Linked DNA regions of Ovis aries. The main gene of each other region encodes a partner of the protein of the gene in region 2 in a complex. Links are inferred from orthologs where the notes say so. Each region holds a gene or a part of one and is shown on either strand. Other genes may lie near its edges. The genes, in order: NCF2, CYBB, cytochrome b-245 chaperone 1 and cytochrome b-245 light chain.

Evidence for each region.
Region 1: CYBB (region 2) and NCF2 share a complex: the UniProt entries of both Homo sapiens proteins name them as parts of the phagocyte NADPH oxidase complex. The link is inferred for Ovis aries from reciprocal best matches to the Homo sapiens genes CYBB and NCF2.
Region 3: the proteins of CYBB (region 2) and cytochrome b-245 chaperone 1 are in contact, whole or in part, in a cryo-EM structure (PDB 8KEI), measured with the Homo sapiens proteins. The link is inferred for Ovis aries from reciprocal best matches to the Homo sapiens genes CYBB and CYBC1. Residues at the interface, in NP_000388.2 of Homo sapiens: Trp28, Asn74, Leu75, Leu76, Ser77, Phe78, Leu79, Arg80, Gly81, Ser82, Ser83, Ala84, Cys85, Cys86, Trp206, His210, Phe212, Pro266, Met268, Trp270, Lys271, Ile273, Tyr280, Tyr324, Phe326, Lys328, Leu335, Glu336, Trp337, His338; in NP_001028218.1 of Homo sapiens: Arg22, Leu26, Ala37, Ser41, Gly42, Asp43, Trp47, Phe50, Tyr51, Phe57, Gln61, Asn62, Glu64, Lys77, His97, Asp98, Gln99, Val100, Val101, Val102, Leu103, Arg108, Ser111, Glu115, Val117, Arg118, Tyr119, Phe120, Arg129, Ala131.
Region 4: the proteins of CYBB (region 2) and cytochrome b-245 light chain are in contact, whole or in part, in a cryo-EM structure (PDB 8X2L), measured with the Homo sapiens proteins. The link is inferred for Ovis aries from reciprocal best matches to the Homo sapiens genes CYBB and CYBA. Residues at the interface, in NP_000388.2 of Homo sapiens: Thr116, Ile117, Leu120, Phe121, Val123, Glu124, Asn128, Asn133, Lys161, Asn162, Pro163, Gly166, Leu167, Ala170, Val180, Thr183, Leu184, Ile187, Leu188, Thr191, Ser192, Thr194, Lys195, Thr196, Ile197, Arg199, Ser200, Tyr201, Glu203, Val204; in NP_000092.2 of Homo sapiens: Gln3, Ile4, Glu5, Trp6, Met8, Trp9, Glu12, Gln13, Ala16, Ile20, Thr23, Val27, Gly31, Phe33, Thr34, Gln35, Arg56, Arg59, Met65, Gly102, Phe103, Leu104, Leu105, Ala106, Ile108, Leu109, Ala112, Cys113, Ile116.

Annotation. Positions count from the first base shown.
Region 1 is NC_056065.1:64,050,687-64,055,116, forward strand, and holds part of NCF2 (neutrophil cytosol factor 2), read right to left. Parts: intron 3,746-4,430; coding exon 3,604-3,745; intron 3,384-3,603; coding exon 3,315-3,383; intron 2,124-3,314; coding exon 2,048-2,123; intron 67-2,047; coding exon 41-66; intron 1-40. UniProt on the Homo sapiens protein: Subunit of the phagocyte NADPH oxidase complex that mediates the transfer of electrons from cytosolic NADPH to O2 to produce the superoxide anion (O2(-)).
Region 2 is NC_056080.1:37,145,613-37,149,577, forward strand, and holds the end of CYBB (cytochrome b-245 heavy chain), read left to right. Parts: intron 1-714; coding exon 715-841; 3' UTR 842-3,261; downstream 3,262-3,965. UniProt on the Homo sapiens protein: Catalytic subunit of the phagocyte NADPH oxidase complex that mediates the transfer of electrons from cytosolic NADPH to O2 to produce the superoxide anion (O2(-)).
Region 3 is NC_056064.1:49,808,226-49,813,163, reverse strand, and holds the start of cytochrome b-245 chaperone 1, read right to left. Parts: upstream 3,475-4,938; 5' UTR 2,667-3,474; intron 2,373-2,666; 5' UTR 2,329-2,372; coding exon 2,244-2,328; intron 1,448-2,243; coding exon 1,406-1,447; intron 607-1,405; coding exon 533-606; intron 1-532. UniProt on the Homo sapiens protein: Functions as a chaperone necessary for a stable expression of the CYBA and CYBB subunits of the cytochrome b-245 heterodimer. Controls the phagocyte respiratory burst and is essential for innate immunity.
Region 4 is NC_056067.1:13,434,681-13,439,588, forward strand, and holds the start of cytochrome b-245 light chain, read right to left. Parts: upstream 3,016-4,908; 5' UTR 2,965-3,015; coding exon 2,907-2,964; intron 1-2,906. Other genes in the region: MVD (diphosphomevalonate decarboxylase), read right to left, coding at 4,269-4,349, 4,780-4,888. UniProt on the Homo sapiens protein: Subunit of NADPH oxidase complexes that is required for the NADPH oxidase activity that generates, in various cell types, superoxide from molecular oxygen utilizing NADPH as an electron donor.

The DNA.
Region 1 (4,430 bases), on a different chromosome or scaffold from region 2:
TTCTCTACCACTCGAAATAGTACAAGGAAAAAAAAATTACCTTGGGCTCTTCTTTTCCTTTCTGACCTAAATGGAGAAGGTGAGAGTAAAACAAAGAGAGATGATGAATGAACACTCTTGGCTAGCCCCTGCCATACACAAGACGAAACCACTTAGAACCAGGTGCCCAACATTATACGCTTTAACCTGTGGGGTGATTATTAACCTTAATAAACTTGGGTGGAAATCATTGGGTAGATGTGAAGGGCAAAGCCATGAACACACAAATGAACCCAGTCTCTGCTTCCAGGCAGCATATAGGTAATTAGCAAAGGACCATCACATCCTCACCAGCCCGTGCAGTTAGGGAGGGATCCCAAAGGACAGTTAATAATAGTGCTGCTGGTGTAGTGGTATCATGCAAGATGCCCAAAGGTCAGTTAGAGCGGTGGGCTCCATCGAAACAAAATCAGTGAGTGTGAGATGAGCCAGGAGCCGCAAGGAGAAATAACTGCTTATTTTTAATTTGTCCTTTATCTTGTGTATGTTTTCTAATGTATAACATATATTAACATAGCAGTACATATATAATGTATGGGGTTTCCCCAGTGGTTCAGATGGTAAAGAATCTGCCTGCAGTGCCGGAGACCTAGGTTCAATCCTATGGTTGGGACTGGTTAGGAAGATCTCATCTTCCCAACCCAAGAAGGGAATGGCTACCCACCCCAGTATTCTTGCCTGGAGAGTCCCATGAACAGAGGAGCCTGGTGGGCTACAGTCCTTGGGATTGCAAAGAGTCAAACATGACTGAGTGACTAAACACATATAATTTATATAAGAAAAGTATGTATAATGATATTCACCATGGAAACAGCAGTGCATGCTCAAAAAAGACCACTGATCTCAAACCCAGTTGATCATTAGAATACTTGGGATTTTTTTTTTAGAAAAACAGGTTTCTAAACCTGATTCCAGTCCTTAAAAATCAGAATCAAAGGCCTTTAATTCTACGTTCTTAAAATCTTCCTAGGTTAATATGTGATCCTTGATGGGCCCCTAGACAGAAAATATAAATTCAAGAAAGCTGTCAAAGACATTGGAGGATAATAGGAGAAATTTGAATATGAAATATATAATCTATATTATATAATAATATATAATATGTCAACACTATCCTAGATATTATATTGTGCTTATGCAGAAGAGCATCTTTGTTCTTAGGATTCAGATGCTGAAGTGCAGGGTGAAATGTCATGAGTCTGTAACTTAGTTTCAAGTGGTTTAGCAACTAGAAAAAAAATTATATTAACAAGAGGAGGAGCCAAGTACATGGTGCAAAATGTTAACAATTACTGAATTTAAGTGAAAGATATTCTTGTGTTCATATTGTACCATACTTTCAACCTTTCTGTAGGTTTGATATTTTCAAAGTAAAAATAGGGGTGGGGAGCATCCCCAGTGATTCTGGTGACCAGGTGGGCATGACAGTCTTTGATCTAGGATCTGGACAAACCACCTATTCAGTGCATCTCTACCAAGCACTTACTCAGGATCTGCTTAACCCGCACTAGTGACCAAAAGTCCATGACTTCCCAGGGCAGCCGTCTCCACATATCAGGAGAGTCTCCCTTTCGTGTTGGTTCTTTGTCCATCCTCCAGCACTGTGCAGAGTTTCTTTTCTAGATAGAGCTCCTCAGTGTTTTGAAAAGAACCACTCCACTCCACTTTGAGGTCAACAGGTGCAATTACTTGAGCCTTTCCTCCTGGGATAAGGTCCCACTACTTAATAACTGATTGAGTTGGGATGCTCACAGCCTGCCAGAAAGCAGCTGCCTTTACCCAAGCTCCCTGCATGTTCTGGAGCAGGCAGGGAGGAAGCATTTCTGTTTTCCTGTGTTTGGGGTGGGTGAGTAACACAGGATGAGGGGGGGCGCTCTGGGGCATCGTGATCATAAGCTGGGAGAACAAGAAACCAGATTCTGTCAGGCTGGGAGAAGAAACCTCCGTGGGGAGGCAGCCTGAAGCACTCCTGCACCCAATCCCGGGATGGTCCTCCAGAGACTCTAACCTGGTGACGACTGGGGTCTTCCAGGAGCACTGGAACTCGGGGGAGCTGGGATATCAGACTTGGGGGAGGTTTCTTCCTGGAGGGGAGAGGAAGAGAGGATGAGAACCTTCATGCAGACAGTTCTTAGGCAGGGGTAGGAGTCAGGGAGACCCTGCAGACCACCATGGAAGGGAGCCAGATGCAAATGACTTCCTAAGAGTTGGAGGGGTGGTGACATTTAGTGGAGACTAAGGGCTGGGAGGAGACTGAAGGCAGGAGGAGAAGGGGACGACAGAGGATGAGATGGTTGGATGGCATCACCGACTCAATGCAGATGAGGTTGAGTAAACTCTGGGAGTTCATGATGGACAGGGAAGCCTGGCGTACCACAGTCCATAGGGCTGCAAAGAGTCAGACATGACTGAGCGAATGAACTGAACTGAACTGAAGGAAAGTATTGATTCAGTGGCAGGCAGAGTGGGCCTGGTGAAAACAATCACAGTAGAAATAATAATGAGAAAATAAGAATCTTAATCCTCCAGCTACAAAGCCCTTGCTACCTAATCACCCCAATTGCCACACTGGAAACCCATTGGAGGCAGGGTAGGACCTTTGTCTAAACTTGCTCGCTCTCACTGTACACCTTGCTCCTTCAGAAGAAACTTGACACTTCGCATCTACATGGCATTTAGAAATTTTCCAGTCATCTGGACATCGTGTCTCTGACCAGGGAGGGCCAACCCCACAGAGGACAACTGGTTGCATAGTCTAGAGACAGGATCTATTGCCATCAGGCATCTGCACAGATCCAACGAAGACTACTCCCCAGGACTGGCAGAAGGGCAGGTCATTGAGATGGGGTGAGTGGGTGGAGGTGGCAGCGGCATTGGAAGCAGTGGCTGGCAAGGTCTGCTCTAATTCAGTGCTCCAAAGCACATTTCCTATGGTGAATGGATTTCACCAGCCAGCACGCTGACTCTTCTTCCGGATGAAGACGATATCCTGGGAAGACCTAAGTTGTCACGTGCTGTAGTTGTGGTCAAGTCACCCTTGACCAGCAGGAATCACAGAGCTGGGGGCCCAATAGGACCTGCTGATGCCTCCACTCAGCACGTCTGGATTTTTTCTTTCATCCCTAGGTTCAGCTCTGGGTGGCTGGTACCAACTCAAGGTGGGCTCAGGACTAGTGAGTCCTCAGGGCCTCTTCCTCTCTGCTCTCCTCCGTGGTCTGTCGGTGGTGGGTTTCAAGGGTAGGAAGGGAACGGGTCAGCCCTTGGCACTACATTACCTGGGGCTGCTGCTGAGGATGGATCCGCAGCTCAACTGGTTCAAGGTAGTTGCAGGGAACAAGCCCCTTCTGCAGCGCAGCATCGTGGAGCCAGAAAGCGGGAACAAAGATGCAGACGTCAGCAGCAGTGCAGGACACCCAGAGACGTGGGGAGGGGTGGGAGGACAGGTGAAAGAGGGGGCAGCTGGCCTGCATATAAGGCAGCAGATGCTGCTCCTCAAAAAGCTCTGCCATGTGCTGCCAGGATCCTGTGCCATTAACCCACCCACCCCCCCCATCCTCTGAATACCTGCCCGTTGAACATGACTGTAGCCCAGTTATCATTGCCCTTCTTCAAGACAAAGACGATGTTCCCCGGCATGACCTGCAGCTCCTCTGGGGTCTCAGGCACAAACCCAAACAACACACGGTGGGCTTCCCCTTCCAGGGCCCTGCGGGATGAGGGTGGGGAGAAGAGGAGGGGTAGACACAAGATATGAGATCTCACCCACCATCTAGCCTGGACCACATCTGTTCCCATGATGCTGTGGGTCAGCAACTATGGACCCAGAGCTGGGAGCCTCACTCCCACCCCTAACTGCCCAGGCGACCCTGAGCAGGGATTTGCCCATCTGACGGCCTGAGAGGACTCTGCCTGTGAACATGCTCCGTGACCACACATGCAGTGGGACAAGAGCTAAAAAAACAACAACATCACACAACACTCGATGATGCCTTGCAACCCCTGCCCTCCCTTCCCTTCTGAGGAGGAAGGATCCCAGCTGTGCTTGGCCAGTGGCCGAGTCTGGGCGGGGCCCGACCAGATGCCAAGGTGCAAGGGAGAAGGCGGGTGAGAACTCGCTGGGTGAGGAGGTGAGGGGGGTGGGGGAGAAATCCCCTAGAACAGCAGTCCCCAGCCTTTCTGGTACCAGGGGTGGGTTTTGTGGAAGACAGTTTATCCATGAACCAGGGCAAGGGAATGGTTTAGAGATGATTGCGTTTCTTGTGCACTGTGTTTCTATTTTGTGGCAATTTCAGAATATTCCACCTTGACTTTAGGGGAAGGGTTCCAGCTCCTATGAGAACCTAATGCTGCTGCTCGCCTGACAGGAGGCAGAGCTCAGGTGGTAATTTGAG
Region 2 (3,965 bases):
AAACAGATATTTTAGGGCAGATTTGAAAAAAGTGTGAAGTCATAACAATTTAAAAACACAGCTGACCTACTTCAATAATATGTATTCTTGAAAAGCTGACACCAGGGCTCTGGTCTGAAACCACAGCTAGAGGAATAAGGCTTTAGAGTCTAAAAAGTTGAAGGACGAAGCCGCACCAAGTTGTTAGCAGAGTTGCCGTTCCTAACGTGGGTTTGTTCCTGATTTTAAGACACTGGAGTGACTTCCCTCGTGGTCCAATGGTTAAAAGTCCGTGCTTCAAGTACAGGAGGGTGTGGTTCGATCCTGGGTCAGGGAACTAAGCTCTCACATGTCCCATGGTGTGGTCAAAAATAATTTTTTAAAAAAAGATGCTGGAGTGTTTGAGAACACAGAGCCCCGAAACGAAGTAGACCACAGGCTCACAAATTCACCACCATTTTCTCTGTGGTAGAAGTTTCCATAAATCTTGCTTGAATGACATTTTTTTTTTCAATACAATCAGCTGCCTTTTAAAGTAGCCAGCTGCCCCCATAAACAGGACCAAGCCACCCTTCCAAGGGTCACCTGAACTCTGTCATTTGTGGAAAGATAAAGGAGCTGAGGAGACTCTGCTCTGAGGCCTAAAATCAGTAGGAAATCTCCCGATGTGCTTTGTAATTGATCCCATCCCAAAGCCTAAAACTGTCTTTTTCTTTCTCTGTTTCTCCCCAAAAGTACCAGAATAGGAGTCTTCCTCTGTGGACCGGAAGCCTTGGCTGACACCCTTAATAAGCAGTGCATCTCCAACTCCGACTCTGGCCCCAGGGGAGTGCATTTCATTTTCAATAAGGAAAACTTCTAACTGGTCTCTTCCATGAGGAATAAATGTGGGTTGTACCACTGAATAACCAAGTAATGCTAGTGGATAATATAAGTTCCTCCCTTTAAAAAAGATAAAGGAACTATGATGTGATGATTTTCCCTGAAAGGAATGTCAAAGATTTTTAATGGTGATAAATTTGCATTTGTGTGGAGCTTTATGGTTTTCAGAGCAATTATATAAACTTTTTTTTTCATTTTGTTTTTTCCCTTTACAGTAATGCCAGGAAAGGTAGGGCAAAGATTCTCAGACTCAGTTTTCAGGATAAAAAAAAAAAAAAAGGTTCAAAGTGGTGAAGTAACCTCCCTAAGATTAAAGCTGAGACTGGCTCTAGGCCATCTGACTCTAGTTTTGGTGATCTTTCAGCAATAGCAGGTTGCCTGGAAATTGGTTTGCATACTCCCCCAAAGAAGAAGCGAACCAGGGAATAGTTATTCATATTCCCTTTTGTGTCATCTTTGTTATCAGTATTGCTCTATTGAAGGAAATGTTCCAAGTAGGAGATAATTTATCCTGTGAATGATTCATCACTTAATAGTGACGACATCCTCCAGTTTACCAATACAGCAGCCTAACTGGGTCAGAGATTTCTCCTAAAAAAGAATATTAAACTGACTGGATGTATATTTGACCCACCATTTACACTGATACTTGGCAGAGAGTGGATACTCATTGAAAGTTAGCTGAATGAATGAATGAAAAGACATTTAGAACCATACGGTGCCAAGGTAGAATCAACTGAAAGCCTTAAACAGTATTATCTGAGGAAATCACTTCTGATACTCTAGTTGACCAAATGAGCCTCATTCTCTTAAGGGTACAGAACAGGCTAAGGTTAGTAACCAATAGGTTGTCCTGTCCAAACACTCTTATTTGAAGCATTGCACCAAAGGGAGATGGAGGCAGAGAAATAAACTCCTCTTATAATTCTGGCTGGCTCCTTTAGTCCTGCTCCTGCTGATGCTATGAAAGAAATGCAAACTAATTTATTGCCCAAAACGGTCCTCTCCAGCCAGCACTTGTGAATTTGAAATTAAGAATTGTGACAAGAATGTATCTGACAGCTGCTTTAAATAGCATCCACCCTTTGTTTTACTTAAATACACATGGAAAATTGATCTTACTGGTGTAACTAATGATTTATCCTTCTATCATCATGATCATAATAAAATTTACATCCCAGAAACTAAATCCCTAGCTTACTATATAGCTTTTGAATTCATATCCAATAGAATATTCTAGATATTCATGAGTTCAAGAATCTCTAAATCACTCTTAATGTAACTGCTCCTACTTCTGGAAACTAAAAACAAATTTATTTGTTATATTCTCTGCGGCCACAGATATTTAGAAGTAATCAACTTTAATAATGAGAAAGAAGGAGAAAGGAGCAGAGGGGAAGGGCAGAAGACCAGGTTAGGAGGAAAGGGGAGGGAGGGAGGAAGACAATAGAAGGAAAGTGAGAGAAAGCCAAAAACAAAAAAAAGGCAAAAGGGAAGGGTAGGGGAAGGGGGTCACTTTCTACCCCAGATTTCTTAAAGTCTTGTATGTATTGAATGTAATTGCAGGAGCCATATACATATTCATTTTATTCTGATCACATAAGGTATTGAATCTGAAATTCTGGCCACAAATTTGATGCTGAGTGGACCTATTCAGGGGACCAAGCTGAACTAGAAAGAACTCAGTTGTTCCATTGGGTCCCCAGAATGCCCAGGGCACTGAGGGCATCAAGTCAGGCTTGCTTTGGGAAGGTCTTTTCCCCATGATGTCCAGGACTGTTTTTTCAAAGAGAAACTTAGGTCTGCCCCATTCACACTGCACCTGAGGAATCAGTTCATTCATTCAACAAAGCTGTATTGTGTTATTGCTATGACTCAGGCTCCTTGTTTGTGGTTTCATTTCTTTATGCCAAAGTGTGAGCCAGAAGGGGGACGAGAGTTACAGGGAGTCTGAGAATCTGGGCCCTTCCTCCCTATGTGGCATAAGTAAAACCAACTTTATTTGTCGCTCTGAAAATATCTCTGCAGGGTTTTCTATTTTTGACACCCAGAGAGTTACGCCCTGTGTTATCCTGGTTATAAGATGAAAAATGAGTGTAAACGCGCTTGTCATTATAAGAGCTTCCTTCCTGCTCCCCAGCCACTGGCTGCCCGTGCAGCCTTTTTAGCATTTAGTATTTAGTATTTAGTAACAGTTACTGAGAGAATGATTAAGCATTATTTTTAATCTCAAGGCTATGAAGGAGTTTCTTATTTCTTTTGCTTTTGCAACATTGTGTTTATTAATTTGAATACTTGTAGATGTTGTGTGTGAATAATTTGGGAGAGGGGGGCCCTGGGAGAGAATTCTTGGGAAGAACTATCAAAATGGCACTCAATTATTAAAATGAATGAGCTGTGTCTGTGTCTGTGTTATTGATCTTCGTATTCAAGGATGGACTTAGAGGGCATAGATTTTCTCTGCCCCAGTGGGATTGAGATTCTCTGTGTTTTCGTAGATGACATGTCAAACTAGGCACAATTTCTGGATTGAGTAGGGAAAACGAAGTACTGAGTTCTGTACTGATATCCGGGTGACACTCACAACACTGGTACAAGGAAATGGACAAGAGAGTATCACCTGATATTGTAGATAGAATTTCAAAGGCAAAGAAGCCCTAGTATAGCAACTTCTTTTTTTTTTTTTTTCATTTCCACTCATCTTTTAGGTTCTAACTTTGCAGTTCAGTTCAGTTCAGTTCAGTCGCTCAGTCGTGTCCAACTCTGCGACCCCATGAATGGCAGCACGCCAGGCCTCCCTGTCCATCACCAGCTCCTGGAGTTCACTCAGACTCACGTCCATCGAGTCAATGATGCCATCCAGCCATCTCATCCTCTGTCGTCCCCCTCTCCTCCTTCCCCCAATCCCTCCCAGCATCAGAGTCTTTTCCAATGAGTCAACTCTTCACAGGAGGTGGACAAAGTACTGGAGTTTCAACTTCAGCTCATTCCCTCCAAAGAAATCCCAGGGCTGATCTCCTTTAGGATGCACTAGTTGGATCTCCTTGCAGTCCAAGGGACTCTCAAGAGTCTTCTCCAACACCACAGTTCAAAAACATCAATTC
Region 3 (4,938 bases), on a different chromosome or scaffold from region 2:
TCACCTGGCTGCTGGCCTGTGGGCCAGTCCAATACACGCTAACTTGCCAACTGTATCCCCACCCTCCCCAGAGCAGACACAAGGAGGCAGCCCTCTTCCTTCCCATCCCAGTCAGAACCCCAGACCCCTGCAGCCAGACCCCTCCAGGGTCTCGGGTGTGAAAAGAAGCAGGTACTTCTCTCCACAGTTGAGAGAGGTGAGCACTGAGGATAAGGTCATCAAATGAGGGAACAGGGCAGAGAACAATACTGGGGCCAGGCAACCCAAAGGACACATGAGGAAGGACAAAAGGGAGGAGAGGGAGGTGGCCTCGCCCTTCTAGGAGAGCAGCTTCAGAAGATTCTGTGGCCCACAAATGGTCACAAATAGGCAATGTCCAGGGGCCAAGTCAAGCTGGCCAGAAACCACTGGGCTCACATTTCAGGATCGGGGTGGAGGGCATTAGGACCCTGGAGTCTTTCTTCCTTTGACGAGCCCTGCAGGGGAACCCAGGAGCCCCAAAGCCTGGGCACCCTTCCTGCATCAGCCTCACCTCCCAGTCCTCCAGGTTCTGCACGGCCACAAACAGACAGCCCGTGACATAGAAGAGCTTCCAGCCCAGACTATCTGGGGAGCAAACACAGGAGACAGCCATGGGCAGGTAGCAGGGGGGCAAAAGTCAACATGCCTACAGGGGGTGCCTCCTCCCAGAACAGCTGCTTCCCAGACTCTGGGCAGGAGTGGCCCCTGAGGGCCCAGCTGACTGCCCATGCCTCCAAGGACACCCCACCCCTGCCAAGGCCATCCAGCACTGTGGGCCCTGTCACACAGGGCAGGATGTGGTCCACCAGCTCTGCCTTCAGCTCTCCACGTGGGTGACTCCTCGAGATTACGATCATGGCACCGTGTGTGAGAGCAGAGATGGGGGACTACTTCCAGGGAGCTGCTGAAAGCATAGACTATTCCTGCCACAAGACCTGAGGCAGACATGAGAGTGCCTTTCTGCATATTTTATGACATGAAAATGCTGATGTAAATGAATGCAAGCTGTGGGGGGCACACAAGCGCATGAAGGTGAGACCACGCCTGCAAACCATTTAGAGGAAGAAAGTCCAACTCCTTATGACCCCATGGACTGTAACCTGCCAGCCTCCTCTGTCCATGGGATTTCCTAGGCAGAAGTGGGTAGCCATTCCCTTCTCCAGGGGCTATTCCCAACCCAGGGATAGAAACCAGGTCTCCCACACTGCAGGCAGATTCTTTACCATCTGAGCAACCAGGGAAGCCCCATTTAGAGGCAGGGACAATCCCCCAAATCATGCCTATCAGATTACAAATGACAGGGTTTCCTTTTTTTCTCTTATTTTCCAATCAGCTAAGGAAGCTCCTAGGGATGGGGCGGGGCAGGGCAGATGCCATTCCTCACCTCCACTGTAGTAGGCAGCAGCCAGGCCGATCGACAAGATTCCTGTGGGGAGAAAACCAGTCCCTTTCCATTGGGCCACCACTAGCCCAGAGACCACCTCCTCCCATGACCCGCAGACCCAGGTAAGCAGCCCCCCCTGCTGCCAGGGATGGCTAAGAGCAGGGAGCAGGGGGGCAAGAAAACCGCCAGGCTCAGAAATTGTGGAAACAACCAGGAAGTCTGTTTACAAGAATGTTCTACCTCAGTCACAGTATTCACTGGTCACATGTCTACGCTGAGGTTCCAGAGCTGACAGGGGAACCAGAAAGAGGAACCTGATGTGGGTCTCATCCACTGACAGCACATGGTGTGGAATGAAGACAAGACTGCAGGTGAAGAATCACAACCCCGCACGAGACGAAACAGGAAGAGTCCCGGGAAAGAAGGCCCAGAGCCAGGCTGCCGAAGGTGCAGCAGCACCTCCCCTCACACCTCAGTTCCAATTAACATGTGCAGCTGCCCAGGGAGTGCAGGGCAATGGGGATTGACAGGGTACAGGACCAGGGGCCTCCCCACCCTTACTCCTTACTGTCTCCATCACACAGGCCCTAACCTTATGAAAGCAAACAAAAAAGGAAATACAGGGACCTCACAGGAGCATGGAGACTATTAACCAAAGGATGTTAAATGGTGAAAAAACACAAGACTGACCCTCTGTAAAAGCACTCGAAAAGGATAAAAGCTGGAAAGACATAATAGTTGCTATTTCCTGGGGTAGTAGAACCAAGGAAAATTTTAGTTTAATCTTCATCCTTTTGTAAAGTTGGATTTTTAACTTGAGAAATATGAACATCCTTACCAACCAGCAGGGACCAGGATCTGATGCCTGGAGCCCTCTTCAGATGGAGGCGGGAGCTGGTGCGTGTCTCCACCTGCATATACATCCCTGGAACGTGCTGCCACCACCTTCAACAAGAGACCAGGGCGCCTAGGGAAGGACACAAAGAGACAGCTGGAGCCCTTGGGCCGCTGCTAACAGACAAGAACCCAGCTGCTCTCCAGGACAGGATGCCCAGCTGCCCACTGACAAGGTCCACACAGGTTCAGAAACCACTCAGCCTGTGCTGACTGCTGTCCTGTGGTCAGGCAAGTCAACCCCCTAGGGACCCATGTCCTCTGTAAGGAAGGTTCTTTGCGCAGATATAGTGGTTGCACTGGGGCTATGTCCCCTGCTCTGGCTCACAAAGCTTCAACATTTGATCATCACCTGTCCACTTCTTACCTGGAAACCTCAGTCTCTTGGAAACCGTTAGCCCCCAGCAGCCTCCAAACTTCTGGCACCCTATCAGAACGTACCAGAACACCCTCATTTCCCTGTACAGGCCTATGAAAAAGAGAACTGAAAGTCTCGTCATGGTTTGATGAGAGGCACTGATCGAAAAGTCAGTTCCTGCAGCTGCGGAGACAACAGTCCGCACCCAGCGGAGGGTTTGGACGGCCAGGAGCACCAGCTTAATGAACGAGTCAGCAAAGGGGACTGATCTTCCACAAGTGGAGAATTCTGCCCTGCAATACGTTCAAAATGCTGGCTCCAGGGGCCCCGTTTTGGGTAGCTTTTCAGGTGTTCTCTGTAAAGTTGTCAAATTTCTGACAACAAAGAGTGGATTCAGTTCACACAAACGAAGCCAAGATCCTGCGATATCCCCGGCTCCCTCCCTTTGACACGCTTCGCCTGTTTCCACACGCGACTCGGCCGCCCGCGGGGCGAGATCACTCCTGTCACCTGCACGAGCCGCTTAGGACACTCTCCACTGACCCTTGCGGCCACACTGTGCACCCTTCTAGCCTCGAGCGCTGCCAGGCCCCCGGGGCATCGACCCGGGCCGGGTCACAAGACCGCGCTCCCGGAAGGACCTCGGCTGCGGGAGCCGCCCCTCAGCACACCCCGCGCCCCCCAACCCGCAACCGTGGCACAGCCCGGGCGCTCACCGCAGACACAAACCTGCAGGCGCGGAGGCGGGACGGGCGGGACCGGCAGGACTTCAAAACGCGCCGGCCTCCAACTTCCGGAGCTGGGGGCGGGACCAACTGACTTCCGGACCCGCGGGGGCGGATGGGACAGTAGACTTCCAGACTCGGGGGCGGGGCGAGGCGCGCGGGTCCTGACTTCCGGGGCTTCCATTTAGCCCTCGAGAGAAGAGGGCTGGCGGGGCTCTAGAATGAGGTTGACTACCAATCAGTAGAGATTGCGGAGGCTGTCATGGGTTTTGCGCACCCCGGCACTCAGCACAGAGCGCCTGGGGTTGCAGTCTTTAGAAGATCAGCGGAGGCAGGTGAAGTTGTAAGCACGGGACAGCCATTTAAGATGGTAAGGAAACGTGAAGTATATATTTAAGCTCACAACAGATACATACAAACATTATGGTAGGTTCTGTAAAAACTTTAATGGGAAGCATTAAAATAGAACTAAAATAGTTGTTCGTGGTTTGGAAAATTATAGTACAAATGTGAATTCTCCCAACTTGCTCTGTAGATTGAATTGCGAACCTAGTAAGAGTATCAACAGGTTGAAAAATCGGCACAGCGCTGCAAGGCACTGTGGAGGAGGGTAGGAGAGAACTAGAGATCCTTGACCCCCCCAAAAAAACTCAGTGTAGCTGGGAAATTCACATTTTCGTGAGGGCAGTTTTTCTGCTCCTCCTAAACTTGCCCCATTGTAGGGGAAGGAGGACTGTAGTAAGAGATCATATTCTCCAGGAATACCTTGAAATGGCCGCTTAGGTGGCCTCCCTGCTCCACTCTCCAGCAAAACACTCATAATGTACCGCCAGGGCCCCCAGATGAGGCCCCAAGTAGGACCCTGATTTGCCTATTTCCCACTAGAGGATTACCTGAAACAGGAGAGCCTCTACCGCACAGCCACTGCATCAGTGGCCTCCAAACTGGGACGGTCAAGATGATCTATAGAGTGCTGGAAGAACATACTAGAGCTTGTATTCCTACTTATCTTTTTATGTCTATTCTCATGTGTCCTATAATTTACATAAGACTTATACACAGTGTATAAAGAAATATACACACATGGGTATGCATAACCCTAGATGTTTTACCAATATAGGCACAATGTCAAAAATTGGGGGATGACTTTTCTATTTCACCAGTCTCTATGTACTCTGCCTGTGGTTCAGAATCACCTGGTGGGGCTACTGAAACACAGACCACTGGACCTGTTCCAGCAATGGATGGGGCTTGAAATGTACTCATGCTGGTGCCTGCTGCTCTGAGAACCACACCCAGAGAACTTAAGCTCAGAGCTGTAACAAAAGTAGGTTCTGCAAGAATGTGGCAGGTTCCCTGACCTGATGCCTCAGCCCACATTCTATTTCCTTGAAATGCCTTCTGTGGTAAGATTACCGCCATCTTGAAGGTCTATTTGAATTGCTTAGCACCTCCTTTAAGTCCTCTCTGCTTGTGATCTTAATTCCTTAGAATTTAGGGAGAACTGAATTGATACCCAGAAAATTCCACTTTGCATTACAGTCCTTGACATAATT
Region 4 (4,908 bases), on a different chromosome or scaffold from region 2:
GGTTGACTTTGTACCAGCTGCGTGGACCCTCGGTCCTGGCCTCGGGTGTGTGGGCTGATCCTGTTCGTGTGCTCTGTGCGATGCTGGGTCTGGGTGGGCCTGGTCTCTCCAGCCCTGTGTGCACCTGATCGCAGCCCACCTGCCGCGAGCATGTGCATCGGCCCCATTCCTCCCCAGTGACTTTCTTCTACGGCGGCAGCTTCAGTGCACCGCTCAGGGGCGTGATGCACACTCACACCTGTCACTCCATCACGGCCACCCATCCTCAGGGTTCCAGTCACTTACTGGGGTATCACTATGACATAAAGTGCACAGACTTTTAACATGTGTGACCCCTACCATGTGACCTCCACCCATATCAAGATTCTCCCCCATCCCAGGTTTTCTGAGGGCTCTTCTTTTGCTGACAGAAGGTTGGTCCAGGCCCTTCCTGGGGTGGTTTGCACAGAGCTCTGGCTCGCTGTTTGTCTCATTGGGTAGTTTCCCACAATTTATTTATGCATTCTCCTGCCTTTGGGACATGTCAGTTGCTTCCAACGTTGGGCTTTTATGAATTAGCTGATAGAGTTAAACTCTTCACCCTTTAAGCAATCTGATAGTGAATTTGACACATTTTATTGACTGTGATTACAGATAACTTACTTTGTTATCTTACTTGGGTTTCCTCTTGAACAGCTTTTCTTGTTGCTTCTCCTGCCTTCTACTGACTTGATCAAACTGTAATTTTAAAATTCCTCTTCCTGAACTACATGTGGACTTTAGAAGGTTTATCTTTAATCTCACCCCAAATTAGCCACAATTATTAATTATTTACAGTCAGTGTCTTCACAGTGGCATAGCCATCTTCCCTCTGGATCCAGCTTCGCCCTCGCTGGAGCACACCCTTCAGCACTCCTTTCTGATGACTTGAACTTCTTCGTTGGTGGTCCCTGTGGCATAGAGTGGGAGAGGGCAGCCCCTGCCCCTTGTGTAGCACAGGCCTGAGTTTCCAGCAGTTTTGTCTTACTTGTGACTTTCTTCGTCCAGGCTGTGGTGGCAGATAACACAACTCCTTGGAGGGGACGATCTTTTGATCTGTTTCTTGTTCAGACAGCCTTTCCCGGTCTGGCCTCAGAGTCCCACGAGGTAAAAGCTCTGACCTCCCACCCCTCCCTTCAGCCCCTGAACCCTGGCCTTCTTCTGCTGGTGTCATGCTCACACTTGCTGTGCTGGAGGAGGGGAAGAGCCATCGCTCCTGCGTTCAGGCAGCGGCTCGTCCACTCGACCTGGGCATGTAATTTCCTTGGCCTGAGCCTGCGTCATTAGCAGGAGTCTCAGCTCCCAGAGGGGCCTGGGGTCTCTCGATGTGGACAGACACTTCAGATCATGGTGAATGAGGTAGGCGCTGTGGCTCGGAGCAGGTGGATGTGGGCAGAGAGGTGAAGCGGGGGGAGCCAGCTCTGTGGCAAACACCAGGGTGGTGGGCCCCCGAGGTCAGAGGGGCAGGGGCAGAGTGGTGGGAGATGGAGGGACCGTTATCTGATCAGATGCGATTCTCTATAACATAAAGGGACGGTGGGCTGAGATGCTCGTGGGGCCTGTGTTGGTACTGAGTCAGGAGTTAGCAAGAGGAGGAATTTAGAGCCAGAAGGTTGTGGAGGAAGACAAGCAGTAGTCATTGCGGTGGTGATGGGGAGGGGTAGACAGCACTGGGAGAAGACAGCTCTGGGCAGAAGCAAGGAAAGCCACGTACTGACCCACTGGGTTCTCCGCCATCTAGAAGCCAGAAGGGGGCTGCCCTGCCTGGCACCCCAAAGTTGCCCACCCCCAAAATGTGACCTTAAAGTGCTCCCTCCCCACCCCCAGCTCAGCTTCGCAGGCTCCTTCCTTCAGTCCCCAGGTTGGCGGTGGGGGCCTCAGGGTGGGTCCCAGGTGAGACGCGGTGGCTGAGACCCTCCTCATCACTTTATCCCCAGGTCCTCCCGCCCGCCCACTCTCACTGGGGGCGGGGCCTTCCTGGGAGGGGCGGGGCCACGGGGGGCTTCCTCAAGCCTCAAGCCCCACCCTCTCCTGAGAAGTTGAGTCCAAGTGCGTACAGCACTGTCTGCAACCGCGGTTGAGCACGGGGAAGCAGGGGGGACGGCCGCCTTCCTACCCAGAAGCAGGCCCTGGGAGCTGGGTGGGAGGGGTCACATGGGTCGTCTCCAGCTGCCTTGTGCAATGTCCTTCTGAGCAGACTCAGGGCTGCGCCCCGGGAGACAGAGCGGTCACCCAGTTCCATGGACCAAGCCTGGCCAGGAGGCAGGAAGAGCCCACCTCCGCAGCCCAGGGGCCTTAGGGGAGGGAGCTTCCACCCCAGGGCAGGAGGGTCACTCCAGGCAGGGGTGGGTCATGCTGGGTTTTCCCAGCCCTACTGGGCGGTGAGTTCTCCGGAAACCCCGGGGGCAAGCGCTTCTTCCCTAGACTGAACTTCCTCTTTTGTGTGTGTCGGGGGGGGCGAGGGAGAGGGGGAGGGGAAGAGGGTGTGCGGGGGAGGGGAGAGGGGACGGTGTGGGGGGTGGAGAAGAGGGCAGAGGATGGGGGTGTGGGTGTGCACGGGGTGCAGGGGCAGGAGGGCCCCGAATCCCCCTCCCCTGCTCCCAACAGAGGCCCCCAGCCCCCTTCCCGCCGGCGCTGTAGGTCGCCCACTGGAGCCTCCGGGCCCGGGGCCCCACCCCAGGCTCCAGCCGGGTGTCTTTGGCTCCTCAGGACCCCTGCTCCCGCCCCTTCTCCAGCCTGCCCTTTCCCCTTTACCTCTCGCAGCCTGGGGTCTCCAGGCCCCTACTTCCCCAGCCCCAGAGCCCCCCTGCACTGCCGCGGCGCCCCGCCCCCAGGCTCAGCAGCCCCTCTGCAGCCCCCGCCCCAAGTGCAAAGCGCCCCCCACTCACTCAGGCCGGACGCCAGCGCCTGCTCGTTGGCCCACATGGCCCACTCGATCTGCCCCATGGCGGCAGATCGGCTCGAACGCGGCTCGGACTCTTCAGACCCCGCGGCCCCAGAGCTCAGCAAGCCTCCCGCCCCGCCCAAGTTCCCCAAGTTCCGGCGCCGCCCCGCCCCGCCGCCGGCTCCGCCCCAACCCGCTTCCCCAGGTGACAGGCCGGCTGCAGGTTGGGGTCTCAGGAGCCTTGCCCCCAACTCGCTCCACGGGACCTCAGGTCTTCCTCCCCTGCAGGCCCAGCCAGCCCGGCCTCGGTGGACCCCTGGAGGGGAAGCAGGGCTTCAGGCCAGCCCCTGGGGAGACTCCTGGGAGGCCCGCCGCATCCGGCCCTGGGCTAGTGCAGGTGTGGTGGTGTTGGCCCCACTGGTAACCCTGGACTAACTTGGGGGGGTAGGGCGGGTGAGTATGGGAAGCTTCTGGGAGAACCCAGAATGTAGCAGTGCTGGGCCCTGTCCTTTGTCACCTCCCTCCTTGGACTCCCTTTTAGGGTCAAGGTCAGAGGGCTCAGAAGCCCTCCCCCTTCTTCCCCCAGCTGGGTTAGGACAGTGGAGAAGAATGGAACTCACTTGGAAGGGGGATGTGGACCGAGCTTAAAGCCAAACCCGAACCATTTCCCCAGCCTGTCGGCCTTAGTGACCACGTCTACCCACCACTGTGTGGCTGTGGCCTGTGCTAAGCATCCCAGGCATGGCGGGGAGGCCCCAGCCCCACCCCCCACAATGCCCGCCCAGCCCCCTGGGTGAGGGCTGAAGAAAGCACACCAGGCCAGGTGAGTCCTCGAACTGCCTTTACTCTGGCCTTGGCACTGCTCCTCTGTCCCGCAGACACAACACTGCACCCACTCAGGGGCCTGGGCTCAGAGTTGAGGGAGCACTTCATGGAGCTGTCCTGAGGTCGTCCCCTGCACGGTGACCCGGCTTCCAGCTCTGAGGGGTACCCCGACATGCCATCACCTCCTGTGGCAGTGGGGTGCCCATGAGTCCGGGGCCTGAGGGCCCTTCATGATCGATGCACCAGCAGCTCCCTGCCGGCTCAGTCCCCTGGTCTTGGATCAGGGTCCAGGTCCCCATCTCAGCAAGCGCTGGGTGCAGGTCAGGGAAAGGTGAGGCACTTGGGGGGGCTTCCCCTGATCATCTGGGTGGCTGCAGGCGTCATCCATTGCCCAACTCAGCCACAGCACATGGCCTGGCCCAGAGCAGGCAGTTACCCACAAATCCCAACAAGCGTGGCCTGTTGACCACCACACCCGGCTCCCAATCCCAGTGAAGCGGCCCCTTCTCCCAGCGGCGGCCGGGCCCCATCAAAGAGGTGGTCAGGCAGCTGGCTTTGGCAGACCGTCAGGACCCAGGAGATGAGCGACAGGGTCGTCCAGGACCTGAGGCCCGGGTCCCACCTGTGGGGTTAAGAAATTATCATCAGGGAGGGACAGGGTGCACCTGCCCTTCCAGGAAATGCAGGCAGGTCAGACACCCTGGTGATGCTGGGCCCAGGGCCCAATCCTCAGGCAGAGGCTCAGTCCCTCTGGGCAGACGTGGAGTGGATAGCAAGTCTGGAGCGGTCGGCAGAGGCCAAGGCCTGGAGAGCATAGGTCACAGGTCTAGGAGTCAGATAGGACCCTGACCTGCTCTGGAGGGTACACCACAGTCCAGCCCCACCCCTGCACACCACAGGCATCCATCAGTCCTTAAATATTCTGTGAGTGACTGAGGGGAACACTAGGTGCTGTGAAACCAGGGAGCAGGGTCACAGCTACTTCACTGGCCCTCCTGTGGATGCCCTGGGGCGAGCCTGCAGGGCGCATGTGGTGTGCAACCAGGACTCACCTGAGTGGCGATGATGTATCTGATGCTGCCAGGGACAGGGTCCATGCCCAGCGCAGCTTTAAGCTCATCTGAGAGCAGGATGGGCTCCACGGGCAGCCCCTTCAGAAACCTGGGGGAAGAAGGCAGGGC